2 linked regions of the Daphnia pulex genome follow. The protein of the gene in region 1 binds, or shares a complex with, the protein of each later gene. Links are inferred from orthologs where the notes say so. Each region holds a gene or a part of one and is shown on either strand. Other genes may lie near its edges.

Region 1 (4,044 bases):
GCTTAAGATTACATTAACTTCTTCACCTTTTCCAAACTTTAAATGAAATTCATGTAATGACTTCAAGTATAATGTCAAGTAAAAGTGCCCCATAAATCACATACAAAGAGTGTGAAAGGAATCAAAAGTCTTCGTTACCATGCACACCTGCTTTTTTGTGTGCTAGGAACGACTTCAAACTTTTTTAACCCAAAGAGCTTCGACGGAAACTTAGTCGTTTGGCATTGTCAAAAATATCAACTCGTTTATTGAACAAAAAACGGACATATTAAGGCTGTCAAATTTCTCTGCAGGATGTGCCGTTTTTTTTTTTTTTTAATCTATTCTAGATCTAGTCCTTCGATACTTTATATTGACTTATTATTGCACCGCAATGGTACCGATAGCTAATAAATTTCCCGGCTCATTTTACTGTTAAAGAGTCCAAAGTAACTTGTAACTTTACGATACCATTTTCTGCAACAATCGTCTTAAAAGATATTAAAGGTTATTGGTCAACACTATTTTCAGTGTATATTTCCAAATCATTTTCTTTACAAGGCTGAATTTATACAGCAACATTTTCAGTTTTGTTTTTGAATGGAAAGATTAGTGCTGCGTCCATTTGATACTTTTCAAATCAATCCCTTCTTGGACCATTTCCCAAAGAGGACTAAAAGTGGAGAAAAAACATAATTAACATTTTTAGCAGAAATGAAGGAAGTTATTTGTCGGGGAATTCCAGACCCGGGTTACGGTTCGACTTCTTCGAATTCGGTATTTACCTCATTTCCCGAAGTTTGGTGACTTGATGAATACACTTTTGTGCGGTGTAATCAACCTCAGCTTCGGTGGTGAATCGCCCAATTCCAAATCGAATAGAAGAATGCGCCAAATCTTCTTCAGCGCCAATGGCCCGCAAAACATATGAAGGTTCCAGCGATGCTGAGGTGCAAGCACTTCCGCTTGATAGTGCCACGTCTTATGTAATAAAAACAAATATAGTTAAAAAGAAAGGTAGTGGAAGTTGCCTTTAAAGTTTACCTTTCAGGGCCATCAAAAGACTTTCTCCCTCGACGTAGGCGAAAGAAAGGTTAACACAACCTGGGTAGGAGTGTTCGGGATCTCCATTTCGTATGACGTGTGTTAAACTATGGCTAATCTGATCGATCAAGCGTTGGGATAGTTTACTGATTCTGGCGTGATCATACTAAGAGACGATTTGGATCAATTTAGTGATATGTAGATAATACTACGCCATGAACTAAAACCTGAAGTTCTTGCTGAGCTATTTCACATGCTGCGCCAATGCCGACTGTCAGCGGAGTAGGAACTGTTCCACTACGTATTCCTCGTTCCTGACCACCTCCGCTTTGCAGAGCTTCAATCCTAACCCGTGGTCGGCGTCTCACGTAAAGAGCACCAACACCTTTTGTTCAAGAAACGAGCGATGCAAAAAAAAAGTCAATTACATCGGAATAATAATAATCAAATAAATTGTAATTGATACCTTTAGGACCATAGATCTTATGTCCACTTATGGACATTAAATCAATTGACATCGATTCGACATCAATCGGAATTTTACCTACAGCTTGAGCTGCATCACAGTGGAAAAACACTTTAGCTTTTCGACACATAGCACCTAATGTTGAGAAAAATTTATGAATAGAAAAATAGACTCTACAATGTTTAAATTTTCAAACCAATTTCTGCTAATGGCTGTTTAACTCCAATTTCATTATTGACACCCATTATTGAAACCAACACAGTTGTAGGTCTGATTGCATTTTGAAGACTATTTAAGTCAATTAAGCCACTAGGAAGAACAGGAAGATAAGTTACTTCAAACCCTTCCCCCTCGAGAACGCGACAGGAATCGAGAACACATTTATGTTCCTGAAAATCATCACAAAAACAAAATTTTTTTACTCAATACCATAAGGAAAAAAATAATGGTTATTTCATGTAATAGATCTTACTGTCTGTGTAGTGATTATATGATTCTTTTTCATTTTGTAAAATCTTGCAACACCTTTAATTGCTATGTTGTTACTCTCTGTAGCACCAGATGTGAAAATAATTTCTTTTGGATCTGCATTTATAAGCTTGGCAACTTGCTGAAATAGTATTTAAATAAACTTTAATTTGATGAGTATTCTTAATTGTAAAACATTTTCTTGTAAATCAACCTCACGAGCTACTTCAACTGCCTTCTCACTTTCCCATCCATACGAGTGAGTTCTTGAATGAGGGTTGCCATAATAATTTGTCATGTAAGGAAGCATTGCATCTAATACCCTTGGATCCTAAAGTTAAATGGAGTAAATATATTTACATTCAAGAATGATACATTTTTGTTCATAGGCTATACTTACAACTGGAGTTGTGGCTTGAGCATCCAAATACAGTGGTCTCCCTTCACCTTCAAATTTACTGAAATCTTTGTCTATAATGAAGTTGAGATCACATATTAGCAAATAACTGATCATTAAGTGGAGTTATTATGTCTTACCCTTGATACCTGTCAGTGTACTGTATTTTCTTGATAGGGCAATGCATTTTGAAATAGGGAATTTTAATATATTTTGATGAAATGTCTTCTCTGTTAGCAAACTTTCTGCTTTTAAAGAAAATTGACATACAATCCAACGGTTTGATTTCGAAAAGTTACGAAACATTTTAAAAACTTCAACAAATAAATTTTAGACAACAAATCGCAGAAGTGCAGAACCGTACAAATCAAGTGTATTTTGGTTATTGGTTATGAAACACATGGATTGCCTAAGGCTAGTAAAATGCGGCGTTGGACCTTTGTAAATAATAGAATCAAATATATTGTTTATTCTTTAAAAATTGACATTTTAGCAATTAATTTACTTTAAGTAAATTTAAAATGTTTTTATTGGTTTGTTTTTCGTTATATAACAATATCTGGATTCTGAGTTCTGAGTAGCGAAGCTGACAATGGTGTCAGATAAAACTACACGAGCGAAAGCAGTCGACGCTAAGTAAACAATCGAATCTAGGCTTTCAGTTTTTTAGTGATTTCAAGGTTCAAGCCTTATTTTAAAAGTTATATTTACTTAAAACATTTGCAATACCAATTAGAATGCGACTTTCAAGCATTTTATGTGGTTTCAGGAAAAAAATGCCGCCTGGGAATATTTGGGGAGGGTAATAAAATATATAATTATGCCTGACCACAGACATGCTTAAATTGTGTTAATGTCCCTTACCGTTTACCCTCAGAAAATTATATGTTTAACTATATTGTTTTTATTAGAAAACATCGAATGGTTTATAAACATAATGAAGAAAATGGAGAACGACTAAGAAAAAGATTTGCCATTGAGGAACAAACCATGTTTTTTTTGAGACATTCATTCCTAACTCAGGTAGAAATCTATATATTTGTTTACCAAAAAAATGTGTTGATCTAGATAGCTTCATTCTAATTTTTCAAAATTTTCCTTTTAGGAAGAAGAAAGTGGCTTTTCAAAATCTTTGGGAAAACACGAAAAATGGCTGGCTGATAAGATTTACTTAAAACAAAGTAGACCATACAAACCTCATGTAACCCTTGAAGAACGCCTTGAAGGTCCTTTGATGGCTTCCAATAAGTGGGATTGAATAACAGTTAATGTTCTTTTGTATTTAGTGAATTAAAACAGTAAAAATCAGATTTGTGTTCCTTTGTGTTGGTGAATGAAACAGCAAAAACAAATTAAATTTGTCCATCCAACCAATTTGATTTATAAGTCTTGAAGTTTGGTGGTCCAGCCTTTAGGATCTTCAGAAATATCCTGCTTAAGCAGTGTCTTCCCTTCTCTTAACAAAGCAGCAAACTGAATTGCTAGGGGATCATAGTTGAGAGTGACAATAGCAAGAACATTTTCTTGCTCACAGAGGAATGCAACGAATTTAAGGTTCTCTAGGTCGCCATGGATTACAACATCATCAAACTGTGGAGCGTAGCCACAGTAACGTACGCTTTTCCCAAACATAGAAGACCAAAAAAATGGAACAGTTGTTTTGTAGATTGGTTCCGATCGTCCCATAATA
Region 2 (2,955 bases), about 1.2 Mb from region 1:
GACTTACGTAGTAAAAAAAAAAAAAAATATTTTGTCTATAATGCTAGTTTTTTCTTTTGCTTATTTCAGAGTTCGCTCACAACGGAATGCACTAGAGGGAGAAAGAAAAAAGAAAAGGAAAATAGTGGCTCTCAATTCACCTGCTGGAGGAAAATGTCAGCCTGTTGCGCATTTTTCTGGGCAGATTTCATCATGCAAGCATTTCTTCTGAATTTCCCCCCTTTTGTTTTGTTCTGCGCGAGTAATGCCTTTATATGTTCAAAGGACGTCGATATGACTTGTTTTCTTTTTTGTGTTACACATTCCGATCGATTGGCAGATATAAAAAAAATCTACTCTTCTTCCTCCCTGCTTTGCTGAATTCTTTATTATTTGCTCTGTGTCACCATCCTTCAACCGAGATTGGCAATTCTTCTGCAGCAAACTGTCCCCTCATCTTTCTTCCGCCGTTCATTGTGCTTTACCGATTACATAATGGAACAAGTGCCTTCACTCCTCACAAGGTTTTGATCATTATTTTTTTGTCATATGGCGAGTTACATCTAATAATACACAACACCATTCGCTAATGTACACAGCAGCAGCTACATTTGTATCTAAATCAGTGAGGCTGTGGAACATGGCCATCTACGTAAAAATTACGCGTGATGGTAGGAAGTTTAAGAACCATGCCTTCAAGATCGTGTGACAAGATGATTTGACAGCCCAGGCGAGAATTAGGCTTCAATCCAGGAGCCATGTCCAGCATATCCTCCTCCTCTTCCTTGGCCTCTGACAGCTTATCATAATACTCTTCTTGGACATAAACCTGGCATGTTGAACAAGCTAATGATGCTTCACATGCACCTAAATAGGTGTGTTGTAAATTTTCTCATGAATAAGCAAACTACAACCAACATTCAGAATATGGTCATTTGTTTACCTTCCAACTCGATTCCATAGCGGTGAGCCAAGTAAAGGACATTATCACCCACCTTCCCCCGGACTGGCTTCTGTTTTCCTTCTTTGTCAATGAAGGTTATATTTACACTAGAAATAAATAAAAAAAAATAAAAAATTGACCTTAATATAAATGAAAACTTTGACATCGTTTGATAATTAATCAAACATTTACACAATGTTGTTATGGAGTAACTTTTATTGCAGTGAACCTTACACTTCGTCTTCTGACTTTGGATCCTGCCATTCGTATTCCCCGCTCCACACAGCTGAAACAAGTAGCAAATAAAATAAAAAGGATTAGTAAAAATATTTTGAAGCAAACGACAGTACGGCACAATGACGTTATCTAATACTAGGAATTCATTACACAATCAAGAAAAATATTCTTACCGGGACTCAAAGAAAATGTTCGGACGTTATATTTGTTTTTTTGAACAAAACTAGATACATTGGAATGTAAATATCTTTCATTTCTAAATTTCCACCTGAAAATGTATCGTAAACAAGTTGTAAGTCGAACGGATGCTGCCATGCTGTGAATTGCGATATTGAACGATTCCGTAAGCGTATTCAAGTATTTTTAAATTTATACCTAAAATGAAATGCATTTTAAAATAAATTATAATTAATTTTTTATGACAAATTTTCAAAAACATTTCAATAGAACTCTAAATTTTTAAAATTTATTTACATTAGACAGTCTGACAACGCTTTCATCTGTGTCAACTCTATGCCTGGTGGCCTTTTTTTTCTTTTCTAGGTTTGTGTTTGTGGAATTTTTGAATTTACGCGAGCCTCTTTAAAAGACCGAATTGCATATGGTGTTTTGAAACACAAGTGAGAATGCTGCATTCGTTACTGTGCGGATTTTTTTTCATCAACCTCTAATTGAGAAGAATTTCGAGATCAAGGGACTGGCGGCCGCCTAAACAAAGCCAAAATCTAAACATCATGGCGGCTTGGTCAAAGGCCTATCGCTTGCGGCAATGCCTTCTGATAACGCTTCTGTTGCTGTTGGATATGTCTTGCCTTTTCTTGGCTGCAGAGTCTCCAAAAATTTCTTCTGGAGGAGATGTGGCAGCTGATGATCGTGACAGAACTTCTGTCAAAAAAGAACTCAGGAACCCAAACAGGTGGATGGGTGCTGGTTTGGCTGAAGAGGAAGAAATTGAACCCATCAAAGGATTCTATTTGGATGAAGGGTCTCAGATGCTTACATCTTTCATGCGCACAGTCAGCAACGAAGAGTTGGGGGTCACAAATCTTCAAACTATATATGACTCCCTTCCGTTTGGTTTATTGGAGAAAGATGACTCGTCCAGAGTGAAAGATCTCAGTGATCGTATTCAGCGTAAACTGTCTCACTATTCTTCTTTAGTGAACAGTAGTAGAATTGCCATTGAGGAACTCTTTTGGCATCACTTACACAGGCCTTTAAGCACTCCTGCACCTTGTTGTGAACTTCCAGATGGAATGCTAAGGTAAATAAATATTTTCAATACATTTTTTGAAGTGCTCTACATTTTATTTATACATTGCTGTGAAGGTATGATAGCCATTTTGGAACTCTGGTTTCTGAAGAACTATCTTGTGATGTGTCGGTACCAAACCACAAGCCCCTCAGTTTTTCCCCTGGACATAATCTGACTGATGGTAAACAGTTTCATGCATAAAAAATATTACATTTAAAATAATTGTGAATTTGTTTTGCAGTTTTTGCCAACAATTTGAAAGCAACTTCTTCCATCAAGTGGCAGTACTTCCTTAGTGCAGATGGTGGGCTCAGTGAATATCCAGCTCATCGCATTGATAGCAAGTCTACTGGATGCAACAAAGCCGGCGACCTTTTGCGCCGAAGGAACTTGTATCTTTCCTCAGTCTACCCAGAACCTAAATTTGTTGTCATGGTAATTGACCATGGAAGTGCGCTAAGTCCAAATCAACTATCCATCGCAAAAGCCATTGGAAAATATATCGTCACAAGCTTGTCGGATAAGGACCACATTGGATTGA

Evidence for each region. The genes of interacting proteins can lie anywhere in the genome.
Region 2: the proteins of cysteine desulfurase, mitochondrial-like (region 1) and adrenodoxin-like protein 1, mitochondrial are in contact, whole or in part, in a cryo-EM structure (PDB 8RMC), measured with the Homo sapiens proteins. The link is inferred for Daphnia pulex from reciprocal best matches to the Homo sapiens genes NFS1 and FDX2. Residues at the interface, in NP_066923.3 of Homo sapiens: Gln153, Lys157, Leu160, Asp161, Arg164, Ala168, Tyr175, Ala384, Ser385, Leu386, Glu387, Pro388, Tyr390, Arg393, Gln456, His457; in NP_001384335.1 of Homo sapiens: Ala104, Cys105, Glu106, Ala110, Cys111, Pro141, Leu142, Ile169, Thr170, Arg171, Asn172, Phe173, Tyr174, Val175, Asp176, His178, Lys181.

What each region holds. Positions count from the first base shown.
Region 1 is NC_060020.1:4,726,127-4,730,170, forward strand, and holds cysteine desulfurase, mitochondrial-like, read right to left. Parts: upstream 2,753-4,044; 5' UTR 2,661-2,752; coding exon 2,495-2,660; intron 2,429-2,494; coding exon 2,358-2,428; intron 2,289-2,357; coding exon 2,172-2,288; intron 2,100-2,171; coding exon 1,962-2,099; intron 1,879-1,961; coding exon 1,686-1,878; intron 1,625-1,685; coding exon 1,490-1,624; intron 1,409-1,489; coding exon 1,251-1,408; intron 1,190-1,250; coding exon 1,024-1,189; intron 961-1,023; coding exon 765-960; intron 653-764; coding exon 589-652; 3' UTR 501-588; downstream 1-500. Other genes in the region: uncharacterized protein LOC124193102, read left to right, coding at 3,092-3,156, 3,266-3,377, 3,460-3,612; apoptosis-inducing factor 3-like, read right to left, coding at 3,735-4,044.
Region 2 is NC_060020.1:3,486,752-3,489,706, reverse strand, and holds adrenodoxin-like protein 1, mitochondrial, read right to left. Parts: upstream 1,498-2,955; 5' UTR 1,475-1,497; coding exon 1,333-1,474; intron 1,209-1,332; coding exon 1,157-1,208; intron 1,030-1,156; coding exon 923-1,029; intron 847-922; coding exon 602-846; 3' UTR 501-601; downstream 1-500. Other genes in the region: myophilin-like, read left to right, coding at 70-95; VWFA and cache domain-containing protein 1-like, read left to right, coding at 1,894-2,423, 2,489-2,595, 2,656-2,955. UniProt on the Homo sapiens protein: Electron donor, of the core iron-sulfur cluster (ISC) assembly complex, that acts to reduce the persulfide into sulfide during [2Fe-2S] clusters assembly on the scaffolding protein ISCU.